Rattus norvegicus: one gene and its partners. The protein of the gene in region 1 interacts with the protein of each later gene in a pairwise test. Links are inferred from orthologs where the notes say so. Each region holds a gene or a part of one and is shown in the gene's direction. Other genes may lie near its edges.

Evidence for each region. The genes of interacting proteins can lie anywhere in the genome.
Region 2: the proteins of Ube2k (region 1) and Traip interact in binary tests that used the Homo sapiens proteins (3 or more experiments, as listed by UniProt). The link is inferred for Rattus norvegicus from reciprocal best matches to the Homo sapiens genes UBE2K and TRAIP.
Region 3: the proteins of Ube2k (region 1) and Dtx3 interact in binary tests that used the Homo sapiens proteins (3 or more experiments, as listed by UniProt). The link is inferred for Rattus norvegicus from reciprocal best matches to the Homo sapiens genes UBE2K and DTX3.

The regions. Positions count from the first base shown.
Region 1 is NC_086032.1:43,069,348-43,073,705, reverse strand, and holds the start of Ube2k (ubiquitin-conjugating enzyme E2 K), read left to right. Parts: upstream 1-1,535; 5' UTR 1,536-1,703; coding exon 1,704-1,766; intron 1,767-4,358. UniProt on the Homo sapiens protein: Accepts ubiquitin from the E1 complex and catalyzes its covalent attachment to other proteins. In vitro, in the presence or in the absence of BRCA1-BARD1 E3 ubiquitin-protein ligase complex, catalyzes the synthesis of 'Lys-48'-linked polyubiquitin chains.
Region 2 is NC_086026.1:117,519,062-117,523,309, forward strand, and holds the start of Traip (E3 ubiquitin-protein ligase TRAIP), read left to right. Parts: upstream 1-1,414; 5' UTR 1,415-1,495; coding exon 1,496-1,593; intron 1,594-4,248. UniProt on the Homo sapiens protein: E3 ubiquitin ligase required to protect genome stability in response to replication stress.
Region 3 is NC_086025.1:64,900,919-64,905,241, reverse strand, and holds the start of Dtx3 (probable E3 ubiquitin-protein ligase DTX3), read left to right. Parts: upstream 1-1,489; 5' UTR 1,490-1,510; intron 1,511-1,556; exon of another isoform or gene 1,557-1,770; intron 1,771-2,559; 5' UTR 2,560-2,778; intron 2,779-2,949; 5' UTR 2,950-2,994; coding exon of another isoform or gene 2,995-3,022; coding exon 3,023-3,023; intron 3,024-3,377; coding exon 3,378-4,126; intron 4,127-4,265; exon of another isoform or gene 4,266-4,323. UniProt on the Homo sapiens protein: Regulator of Notch signaling, a signaling pathway involved in cell-cell communications that regulates a broad spectrum of cell-fate determinations.

The DNA.
Region 1 (4,358 bases):
TGGGATAGAAAGTGTTTTAGGTTGTATTGGCATAGATACCTACAACATTTCTAGATTTATATCATAGCAAAAATCCTTTGTAGTGTTCAGTTGTTCAGTATATAGTTGACGGTCCTTATAACCACTAGAGGGCTCTGCTATAAGATCTTTTATAATTTATGTCTGTCTACTCAGGGAAAGGCTTTGAGATGTTTCAGAATTTTGAACTCTTAAGTTTAAACAACCTCCTCATTTCACAGACGAGGGAACCGCAGCTGGCAACGGATATAGGAGAGAAGTGGGAGCACTCTTAGACTGGTTTCTCTCGAACTCATGATCCTCCTGCTTCTGTCTCCCAATCTAGGATTACAAGCCTATACCACTACATTCAGCTCGTATTAGTCTTATGATGGAATACTGAACTGATTGATTAGGTGAATACATGAAACATACTCCTAAAATAATACCTTCATTATTTCACAATGTTATTTTCAAAAGTATTCCTCAGCATCTACATTCCGTTATTTGTTTTAAACTCTACTAACCACTTTCAAATAGCCTCTCAACGTTGTTGCTCAATTAAAACATTTTACTCGGTCATCTTTTCTCCACTCAATTATATTCACTCACTGCTTATTGACATCTACGAGCGCCAAAAACCTTTGTAGGTCTAAAGTTCTTTCGGCCTTCTATTTCTCCAACTGTCACTATAAATTATACAGACTTTCACATGCTTAATTCAGCCATTCTCACAGCGTGGTCGCTGAAAAACAGGCAGCAGGGAGTTTGCTCGCAATGCAAATTCTTAGCCCCATCCAGACTCTAGGGATAGGTCCTAGTAATCTAACCAGCTCTCCAGGGATTCCGAGGTGCGTTCAAGTTTGAAAAACATGTTAGTTCTACAGCTCAGCATTGACTATCTAAACAGGTCAAAGATTTAACTTCTGGCTTTTAAACTCATCACAGGCCTGTCCCCGGCAACACCTGTATCAATTACAACCCGTGGGACGCAACCATTACACAACCTTAAAAATCTGTAATACCTGAGATGACCGAATAATAGTTGCGTTATCATGGTTCCAGAACAAAAGCTACGGCAGTGGATATCCCGGGGGTTTACCAACGGACGCTGGGCAGGACCCAGTTCCTGCATAGTTTTTTCCTCCGCTAGACACAGGGAGGCACCTCTAGCCCGTGGGTTCTGGGTCTGGCCGAGTTAGAGCGAGGCTCAGCCCGGCTGGGGCCCCGGGAACCCGCCAGGCGGGGCTCCCACCTCGGGTCCGTGGCTAGGGACTGGAGGCCTCACCGTAAAGGGGGCCGAGGGGCAGGGGAGGACCCCGCAGGCCCAAACCCCGCGGACCGGCACAGAAACCGCACCCTCCTGGCCCCAGCCGCCGGCAGGGCGGAGCCACGCGGCCGAAGCCCCGGCTGAGACGCGCGGCGCGGGCTCGCTGCTGAGACGTATGGGGCTACCACTGGAGCGGCTGCGCCGCCCGCCCGGGTCAGCGTGGTGCGCATGCGCGGACCCGGCGCCATTTTGGTGGCCGGGCGCGGAGGTGATTCTACACTGAGGGGGAACGCGACGGCAAGGGTGGCAGTGGCAGCGTTCGTGTGCTCGGGTCTGAATCACTGAGGGAGGAGGCGGTGGAGGAAGAGGTGGCAGCGGTGGCGGTGGTCGTAGCGGTGGCGGAGGAGGCGGGTACGAATCAGCTGCGGGCAGAGACATGGCCAACATCGCGGTGCAGCGAATCAAGCGGGAGTTCAAGGAGGTGCTGAAGAGCGAGGAGGTCAGGAATGAGCTACCGGACACCCCCATCTCAGCCCAGGGCGGCAGGGCCCTTCCTTCCGCGACCCCGGCGGTCCCAGCCGGCCTCGCTGCGGCCGCCTTTCTGCCTATGGGGAAGCGGCGGTCTCCCCTCCTCCTCCCGCCGCCTTTCCCTCCCCTCCCCGGGCCCTGGGATAGGCGGTCTCGCGGGCGGCCGGCCGGCCTGGGGAGGAACAGGGTTTGGGGGGCAGATGCCGAAGCACTCGTCCCGGGCACGTGAGCTCTAGAGAGAGCCCCGAGGCGGCGGCAACAACATCTGGAAGTGTGACTGTACGGTGGGGAAGGAACAGGCCGAGAAAACCCGGGAAGTGGGTTGGGGGAAGGGGAAAGGTAGTAACTAGATCCCCGGCAGCAGCGCACCTCACAGGCCCACGCTTTCAGGGGTACTGGGGATATTGCCTGCCAGGCCTTTGCTGTCTTTTCCTTGGGGAAGGAGCCTTCACAGTCTTTAGGTATAGACGAGAAGACTTTCAGTTGCTCCCTTACGGTACAGTGCTGGGGGATCTATGGAGACATAATGGGCATTCTTGAATTGGGAAGGGGTGTTGAAACAATTTTCACTATAGATAAAAAAATAATTCCAAATTAGATAGTCATCTCTTTTCTACGTACCCAGCCAGTAAGTAACTAGGCCTCCTCACTGATATTTAAAGCTTTTTGTCTAGTCAAAGGCAAGTTGTTTGTTAATTAAATGATTTGAAATAGGAAGAATAATGGGAGTGTGTGAGTAGCTTATTTCAAAATACTGTTCACCCGTATCAGAGAGGCTCTCCTAGGGTAATGCCTCTGTGACTAGTGTTGTACTGTGAAACTTCATTATGATGTCCCTCATAGTTAACTTGAGTCTTACTTTTAAAAAGAGGCCTATTAAAACCAAGGGATTTCATCAGATACACATTGTTGTAGCTCATTATTGAGTTAGGTTTATTTTTCTGTCACAAAATATATCAGGAAATAGCATATTTAAAAAATAAAACTCTGACTGCCTGTAAGTCCTGCAAATTTTAAGCATATTAATGCTTACCAGATTTATTTATGTGAAATATTGAAAGTAATAATTTTACTCTGCTATAAAAGTGCTAAATCGACAAAAATGCCAGTTTTTCTATGATTGAACTTAACAATTCTGAAAGTAATTATTTTTTTCAAGGTTCACAGTTTTCCTATTATGCTTGCTTGGTACTCTGATAATGTCATTAATGATTTTTAAAATTCGTCATTTTAAGCATATGAGAAATTGTTAGAAATCTTGTAGCTCTCCAGCTTTATTGTGCCCCCAAGCTTGCAGACAATTATCCATCGTTCCAAGTAGACATGAAGAAAGTCACTTAAAATTGAAGTGACAATGTTAGCAGCGTTAGTGAGCATACTAAGAAATACGTAGGGATCTGTCTTACGTAGCATGAACTCTGACCTCTGTATTCATTTGCCAAAACTCTGAATGGAAGGATGACTTTGTATTTTTGTGAAACAATGCAGAAACAATATGAATGACAGTATTCACATTTTTAATGGTGATTTATTTAAACTTTTTCTTTAATAAGCAAACTTAGTTTGGGGTCGTTGTATATTCTTATGTTGTTAACAACCTACAACATGTATTCTATAATAAGGTTGTATGGGTCTTTAGACCTCTCATGCTTTCTTTTATCTAAAAGTGTCAAGTTACTGCCCTGAAAATTGATATACCCTCTTTGCTTTGTGTGGTCTGACTTTTCACCATGGCATTTGGTGTTTAAGTTGAAGATTATCGGCATTTGTATGACTCTAGTAGTACATATTATTACTATTCTACTATTTAACTGATGGGCTGAGTGGCCAGCTCCATTTACTGTTCTACTATTTAATTGATGGCTGAGGAGCCTGATGACCGAGTTCAGATTCAGACCCACATGCTAGAAGGTTTCTCTTTGACCTCTACACCCAAGTGTGCAAATCGGATAAAAGCTCCTCCTCTGGTTAAAAACATTGTCAATGGTTCTCAGGAAGGAAATAGGAAATATGAGTTCAAGAATGGTGCCTTAAAAACCTAGCAGGGAATTCAGTTCAAGGAAGTAAGTTGCAAAGAATATTTTGGAAAAGATCAGATAAAATTTAATATTGTAAAAAACCACAGCCAACAGTTAGCTTTATCCTCACCAGTATTTTATTTCATTTCCCTAGATAGGTTGTGTTGATTTCACCTGAGTGAAGAACCCATAGTGCAGTCTACATATTTCCCTTTTAAGTGCGTAAATATGAGCTTTTTTTTTTTTTTTTTCGGAGCTGGGGACCGAACCCAGGGCCTTGCGCTCGCTAGGCAAGCGCTCTACCGCTGAGCTAAATCCCCAACCCTAAATATGAGCTTTTGAGTAGTTGGTCAAGTCATTAATTCACCGTGTCATACAGGTTTAATTCATTTGGTAGTGTTTTGGTGGGTCTTACAACTTGATTTCCTTTTTGCCTGTTTTAAGTGCCTTTGTAAAGATAACTGACCTGTCAGAGCACACTTTGATCCCAGCACGGGAGAAGCAGAGGCAGGCAGATCTCTGAGTTCCATTTAGTGTGGCCAGGG
Region 2 (4,248 bases), on another chromosome or scaffold:
GTGGGCTAACTGTGTGCCTGCTGAACCTGGCAAATAAACGTCACCCTGCAAAGCCTCTGGCCACCCTCTTGCCTTTGCTTCCTCTGTCCTATTGGGGAGGAGCCTATGGAAGGCAGTGTGGGAGGGAAGAGGCCATGGGAGCAGTTCCGGGTAGCGGCTGATGCTCAGTGCATTGCTTGGGGTAAGAGTGGAGGTCACCTTCTCCGATGTGTACCTGGATGATGTTAATGGTAAATCCTCTGGGCTCAAAAAAACCATGAGTGGTGTGTTTAAGCCAAGAAGTATCCCTAGCCGAGCACTGAAGGGCTGATGCTTTTCCAATTCTTGTTGACGAAGAGCCTTTGTCTTAACTTGGACATAGAGGTGGAATCCACTCAGGGACAACCACTATAGGAAGTGACCTTGTTCATGGGCACAGTGGGCCTCCTTGGGCTGGGGAGAAAGTGGGGTTGCACAAGTTTTGTGCTGTATGTTGATGCCTACTTCCTGTGAATACCTGTGCTTTCCACTTAGACCAAAAAGATTTCATTCTGTCTTCCCTGGCTGACGCAGACCTGCTTTATAATATGGAGTCATGTATGTTCCTTTTGGGGGAGTAATATTGCTAATGATACTATAAAAATCCCTAAGGAGATTCGCTTCAACTCGGAGGGGCTTTGGTAAACTCATCTGGGTTGCTTTCTCAGGGAGGACCTTAAATTATCTGATGTGGGAATAATAAAGAGGGTTTGCTATTTCCTGGTCTTTGAAGCATCTGTACCTCCAAAATCACCATCCCACAATCCCAGGCATGAGGAATCCTGGGAGGTTAGGGCTAAATTACTGGCCCTAGTGTCTACCCAATCTCAAAGATTATTAGGTTATATTTGAATGAAGCCAGGGCTAGTGTAGTGGTTTGAAGGGTTAGGACTTAACCTGTCCATCTTTACAAGGTCATCATAATAGAAGGCTGAGAAAGTGGGGGGCTTCTTTCTGTCGGGAACTGCGGGTTTCCAGTGTATGGCCTATTACTTTCCATAGCCATGGTACCATCATCCCTTTTTCTTGGCATGCCAGTCTATTTGACTGTCCCAAAGTGCAGCAAGAAAGGGTCTGGTTCGCTTCTCACCGGCTCTAGCTTGAGACAATGCCCCGCTTGGCAGGGATAGGGGTCAGACTGTAGCTTCACTGTTTTCTGCCACAGTCTATCACAGGTTTTTGGTTTTTTGTTTTGTTTTTGTTTTTTTCCGGTAGATGCACTTAGACTTCAAAGACCTACGTCCCAGGATTCCACACGGCTGGCGGGTTGTTTATCGCAGCCGTCCCAGCGCCCCGCCCCGAAGTTTGTCCAATCAGGGGGGAGCAGTCAGAAGTGGGTTTGTTATGACTTCCGGTTCACTGCCGGAAGTCGTGCGGTGGAGCGAAATTTGAAGGAGTGGGAACCGCGGCCGGTTCGGCCACCCAACTGTGTCTGTTGCTGGCTGCTGGCTCTCTGTGCTGCTTGAGCCGAGCCATCATGCCTATCCGCGCGCTGTGCACTATCTGCTCCGATTTCTTCGATCACTCCCGTGACGTGGCTGCCATCCACTGTGGCCACACTTTTCATCTGCAATGGTGAGTGACGGCGAGGTGTAGGGCCCCAGTGCGTGTCCTAGAACCATTTAGACGCTAACGCCATTGGTTGTCCATAGAGACAATCCATCCTTGGATCTAAGACAAGTGACGACGACATTAGAGGAGCCTCACGGAAGCTTTCCAACGTGGGCAGAAGTGGGCCAGGTGGAAGTAATACAGGTAGCCCAGGGAGGGATACAGTGAAAAGAGTTAGGTGCTAAGAAATGTGCCTTTAAAATTATTAGTCTGAGCGAAGATGAACTTTTACCGCACTAACGAAGCATTTTATTTGAGATTCAAAAAATTGACCAACAACTTGGTAGGTTTTTGGCAACCCTTGAGAGTCTGTGTCATTTGCTGGATGAATTGGGTTGTTTTCATCCAGAAACATCTCGTTGGTCAGACACTCCAGGAAACCTGACTTAATTTGGAATGGCAAGGAAGTGCCTTCCTGTCAACGGGTCCTGAAACTCAACTGTTTCATGAGTGACAAAAGACAGTCCCTTTGCAACTGGGCAGGCTGGTTCAAAGCTCCCAACAAAAGAGAAAATAAGGTAGAAAAGAAGTCCTTTGGGGAGACTGGGAGGTTTGGGAGGGGAAAAAGGGTCCAAGAGGCAGGAAGAGGTGTGAACACTACGGGTGTCTCTTATTTGAAAAGCTTTGTTTAAAACCAGTGTTACAGTCTGCAGTGTTGCATATCCCAGTACAGGCTGGAGAGGAGGGAAAGTGTGGAGACAGAGTGATCGGGAGTTTTAAGGTCAGTCTCAGCTACATAAGTAAGGGAGAAGTCAGCCTGGACTTTCTGAGACTTTGTGTCAAACAAACAAAACAAACAAACAAACAGAACCACATATTTTAAGTTATGTGTTCTATGTGTGTGTTTGTGTGGCTATGTGCATGGGAGTGTACGTAACCTCAGAGGCCAGAGTCGTCTGATCTCCATGGAACTGGAACTACAGACAGTTGTGAGTCACCCGATGTGGCTGCTGGGAACTGAACTCAGGAAGGACAGCTGGAAGAGCAGTACCAACGCCTACCCTCAACCAGTGAGCTATCCTCTCTCCAGCCTTTTAAACACAAGCAAACAAACAAGCCTGGCTGTGTATGGCTCAGGAGAACTGGTTCTGTTTCTTCAGCCTCCTAGAGCTCAGACTGCAGGTGTTCGCTCCATGTGTCCCCATCCCTCAGATCCATGCCCCAGGCATGGAAGGCAAGGGCTCTTCGGCCGGTTTATCCCCCCAGGCCTTGTATCTATTTTTGTTTGTTTGTTTTGTTTTTGAAATAGGGTCTTGCTGTGTAGTGTTGGCTTGTCTGAGATTCAAGGCAATCCTCCTGCCTCAGCCTCCTGAGTACTGGGATTGCAGGTGAGACCCACCACTCCTGGCTCCCACCTACCTATGTACTTTGTCTCGTGTATCCTAGGCTGGCCTTGAACTTGCTGCATAGCCAGGGATGACCCTGGGTTTCCCCCCCCCCCCCCCCCCGGAGCTGGGAACCGAACCCAGGGCCTTGCGTTTGCTAGGCAAGCGCTCTACCACTGAGCTAAATCCCCAACTCCGACCCTGGGTTTCTAATCATCCTGTCTCGATCTCTCAAGTGCGGGAAGTACGTACTACCATGCTTGATTTATATGATGCTAAGGATTGAATAATGCTGGGGCTTTGTGCACGCTTGGCACTGTTCATTGAGCTACATTCCAAGGCCTTCCTACCCCCACGTATATTTGAATAAACTTTTTTTTTTTTTTGAGACAGGGTCTTACTATGTAGCTGACCATGAACAAGGAGATCCACCTGAGCTTGGAAATTAAAACTGTATACCACCCCACCCAGCACTCTTTTAAACATCTTTTTTTTTTTTTTTTTTAAGATTATTTTATGTATATGCGTACACTGTCGCTGTCTTCAAACACACCAGATGAGGGCATTGGATCCCCATTCCAGATGGTTGTTAGCTACCATGTGGTTGCTGGGATTTGAACTCAGGACTTCTGGAAGAGCAGTCAGTGCCCTTAACCGCTGAGCCATCTCTCCAGCTCTGTTTTAACCATCCTCAGATGCTGATTCAGTGGCATTAAGTACATTAGCAATGTTATGTAACCTTCAGTGTCGTTATCCGAACGTGCCATCAGCTGGACAGAAGCACATACCCCATTGAATACTAACTCTCTGTGTAACTCCCCCCAGCCCCTGAGACCCTCTGCTGCCCCTTGTGTACCTGAGTTCCCCATACCTGGGATCCCATGTAGGTGGAGTCCTGTATCCTCTGCCCTTCCGAGAATTCCATGTAGCATACTAATTTTAACATTCACCCATCTCTTAGTGTGTATCAGAATTTCATTGCTGTTGTGGCCAATGTTTAATTGTATGTATGAAAATACCATATTTTGTTTATCCGCTCGTTTGTTGATAGACAGGTATTTCCAGATTTTGACGGCTGTGAATAATGCTTCTGTGAACCGCTGTACAGATACCTGTCTGAGTCCTTGTTTCCAGTTCTTAGAATGTATACCTGGGAGCGGAAAGACTGGGCCATATGGAGATTCTATATTTAGGTTTTTTTCGGAACTGGCATACTATTTTCCACAACAGCTGCCGACTTCTCTCTCTGCGTCTCTGTCTGTCTCCCTCTCTTTCTCTCTCTCTCTCTCTCTCT
Region 3 (4,323 bases), on another chromosome or scaffold:
TGGTCTTCAAGGTGTTGGGGTTCTTGAGTATGTGTGTGTCGATGCAGGGGCATATTCTAAGATGGCTATGAACTTAGAGGTGTGGGGTGGACATGGGACCGGAAAACATTTCACCAACCTTGTGAGAATTGAACAGTAATGGCAGCCAGGGAAAAGTGGGATGGTGTCCCTCTTCCCTAGGCTCTGGTTCCTCCATCTGTTAACTTTAGCAACTAGTCAGTCTCTCTCTCTTCCCCCTCCCCTCCCCTCCCCTCCCCTCCCTCCCTCTCCCTCTCCCTCTCCCTCTCCCTCTCCCTCTCCCTCTCCCTCTCCCTCTCCCTCTCCCTCTCCCTCTCCCTCTCCCTGTCTCTCTCTCTCTCTCTCTCTCTCTCTCTCTCTCTCTCTCTCTCTCTCTCTCTCTCTCTCTCTCTCTCTCTCTCTCTCTCTCTCTCTCTCTCGGTACCAGCTATGTAGGAAGGAAGGAATTCTGTGTTCACCCAGGCTTCCTGGGAAAGCTTAGGGGGCAGGAAGAGTACAGCAGGGTCCTGGGAAAGTGAAGGAGTGACCAGTCCTCTTCAGGTCAGGGGGGAGGGGATGGACAGCGGTGGATGACGTGGTTGTTGCTAGTCTGGGAGGTTCAGTACTGTCTTGGCTGAGGAGGTCTTTCGGCTGGTGGAAAAACCTGGCTTGATGTGGCCCCAGGGAAGTGAGTTGGAGGAGGCGGAGACAGCTCTGTAGGGAAGCAGAGCGGAGCAGAGCTTTTTTTCTTCGGGAATTTTTAACTCTATTTGAGCCACGTACTTGACACTAACACCACCCCAAGCCATTTTTAAAGGATCTATCCACCTCGCATTCTGCACTGACCTATGTCCCTATTTGTGGAAAACTAGTCATCAGCCCCCATTTGGCAACAGGCTGCGCGGGGTGGGGGTGGGGGGGTCACCGGAGGTAACAGTCTGGAAGGAGGCAAGAGTTGAGGGAGGGGATTGAAGTAGTTTAGTCACAGGGTTTATTTTGTAGTATCAATGTTTTCCTTTTAACTAAAACTTCCCATCCAACATATTCCAGCGTAAGATTTCAAAAAATTGCCCCCCCCCCTTCCAAATCCATATACCCGCCTGCTCCCATCCCTGCCAGTTCCTAAAGGTGTCACACAGTTGGCTGGGAAAGAGGTGGGGAGAGGGCTCCTCCGGGAGGGGAAGCCAAGAGAGTGGCGTTTCTAAGGGATTTAACCTCCTACCCTCGGCTACATGACGCCACCCCTCCCACCAAAGACTGGAACTGCGCCTCCATTTTTGTTTTGGGGCAGAGGCAGGGGCTCCCGGGTAGGAGGGGGTCAAAGGAAACGGTGATTATCACCCACCAAGAGGAAGGGTGCTCTCCCCCTCCTTTCTCTCAGTCTGCACCCCGGCATCCCCTTCCACCTTCTCGGGGTCTCCCCCCCCCACCCCGCCCCTTGTTGCTAAGGCCCGGACCGTCATCCCAGCAACAGCCTCAGTCATGTGACCGGCAATGGCGGCGCTGACGAGAGGTAGGTGAGCCCGGCGCCCCCACACCCACCGCGTGCCCCCCAGGCCGGGTCCGCACCCTCACAAGCTCCCCCGCTTTCCTCCGCCCCCTCCTCCGCCATTGGCCCCCTGCGCGCGCGCGGCGGGAGAAGGGGGCGACCCCGGGGCCGGGCCTGTCATCTTTCCCGCACCTCCAGCCCTGGCCTCCATTTGGGGGTTCTGAGGGCCGCAGTCAGGTGGACACACACCCTCACCAAGCGGCGAGACTCCGGGGCTTCCTCGAGTAGGGATGCGGGAGTTGGTTTCGGGTCGGATGGATCCGGGGGCAGTCTGGGGGAGAAGGGTAGGGGTGCCTCAGTGGACACCCCCCAGGGGACCCTTGCTCTTTCTCGCCGTCCCTGACAGCTGCTGCTGTCTAGAGGAAGAGACTGGTCTCGTGTCCGGCCTGGTTTGCCCCAGAGGAATGCTAGACCCAGACTGAACTGTGGCCCCGCCTCCCTGTGCTGTGCCAGCAGGACTTGGAGCTAGGACACCTAGATCCTGGGTTCTCTCTGGTGGGAAGGGGGCATTTCACCGTGCACAGACCGTGCGGGTTGAGACTCTAGGTTTTCATCTCAAGGATCCTATGATAGAGGCACAGACGGACAGCGGCTTCTTTTTGGATCACAAGGAATTGGGGTCACATTAACAGCCCCTCTTCCTAATTGGGCTGTACTTTATGTTGTGGGAAAGGCCTGGAGCTGACTGACAGGGCTCAGGTCCCTGGAGCTGAGCTCCTGCCTGATTTGCTGCTGACAACAGCTCTGCAGGCACTGGGTTTAAAGGTGACAATGAGAACTTTGTTATTGCGGGACTGCTAACACTTTACTGGCATCCCTAACAGACTTCCGGCTCTCAAGGAAAGGTCCCTGTCAACAACAGGGACTTGAACTATTTGAGAACGTAAAGAAATGAGGCGAGGAACATAGGAGATATTTCTGTCAGTGTAATCTGAGGGAGGTGGCATGTACGACCTTCATCCTATGAGGCCGTTTTTTTTTTTTTTCTCCTTCCTGTCTTTATCTGCACCTAGGATCTCCCTCTGCACTGGGAGAAAAAGAGAAGTTAGCCTGATGAAGTTCCTTGAGCAACTTGGAGAGGATCCTGCAGGAGAGAGGAAATAGAGGAGCGTTTTCTTTCTGGGCTGGCTGAGGAAATGCTATCATAACTCTTTACCTTCCTCGTCCCCAGCTCTGGCCAGCTGAAGGTGGAGGTGGAGGGATCCGCTACCACCATACCGTGGTCTTTTCAGGTACCTGTGCCCCAAGAGAACCTCAGTTCTCATGTCCTCCTATGTTCCGAGAAATCCCCATTGCCCAGTACCCCTACCCCAGATTCCTGGCTGTTTCAAGGGCTCCTGAGTTGGGGCCTGTGGGGGTTGGGGAATAGGTTTCTTACTTTCTTTTCTTTCCCATCCCACCAGGCCACACGATCTCCAAGTAGCAAGGGGGAAAGAGAGTGAGCCTGCATGCCAATTCTAAGCTCTTCCGGATCAAAGTGAGCAAATGGGAGGGGGTGGGAGTGGGGGTGGGGGTGGGAAGTCTCCTTCCCTTTTTTTTTTCCACTCTGAGGGGAAGGGGTAGGTTGCTGTGCTCAGGAGAGAAATGAAAGAGGCAAGCAAGACTGGTACTTGGCTTAGATAATGATGAAATATGGAAACTTGTTCCCAAAGGGTGCTGGGACTATAAGAGAGAAGTGGGAGATAGAAAACCTTAGTTTGCAGGCGCTGTTAGGGGTTGGCTTTGAGGAAAACAGAGGTAATATGGGGTTTGGAGGGAGCCTGAAGTAGGAGGCACTTTTATCTGCCAAATGGGGACGCCCCACTCTGAGTCCCTTTCACCCTGGGGGCAGTGTCGTTCGTCCTGTCCAGAATGGCAGCCTGTGGAGGCTCCTGCAAGAACAAAGTGACAGTCTCCAAGCCTGTGTGGGACTTCCTGAGCAAGGAGACCCCAGCCCGGCTGGCCCGGCTTCGGGAGGAGCACCGAGTGTCCATCCTCATAGATGGCGAGACTTCTGACATCTATGTGCTCCAGCTGTCTCCACAGGGTCCTCCCCCGGCCCCCCCCAATGGGCTCTACCTGGCCAGGAAGGCTCTCAAGGGGCTACTGAAAGAGGCAGAAAAAGAGCTGAAGAAAGCTCAGAGGCAGGGGGAGCTCATGGGCTGCCTGGCTTTGGGGGGTGGAGGGGAGCACCCTGAGCTGCACCGCCCAGGCCCACCTCCTCTCCGAGCAGCCCCACTCCTGCCCCCAGGGGCAAGAGGGCTCCCCCCTCCTCCTCCTCCCCTGCCCCCTCCACTCCCTCCTCGTCTCAGAGAGGATGCTGAAGAGCAGGAAACCACCTGCCCCATTTGCCTGGGGGAGATACAGAATGCCAAGACGCTGGAGAAGTGCAGGCACTCCTTCTGTGAGGGCTGCATCACAAGGGCCCTGCAGGTGAAAAAGGCCTGCCCCATGTGCGGCCGATTCTACGGGCAGCTGGTGGGCAACCAGCCCCAGAATGGGAGGATGCTGGTTTCCAAGGACGCCACCCTCCTGTTGCCCAGCTATGAGAAGTACGGCACCATTGTCATCCAATATGTCTTCCCGCCTGGCGTCCAGGGGGTAAGAAATCTCAGTCCCTTCCTGTTGGCCTCCTCCAAATTAACTCACTCTGATAAAGAGAATATGTTGCTAGACATGGTGCACTCCTGCTGTCTCCCACCATGCCTTTTATGACTGGGTGTTCTGGAGCTTGGCAGCAGGGTCATCTCCTTGAGGCCCAACTATTTTATTTTTATTTTTTTATTTTTTTTTTATTT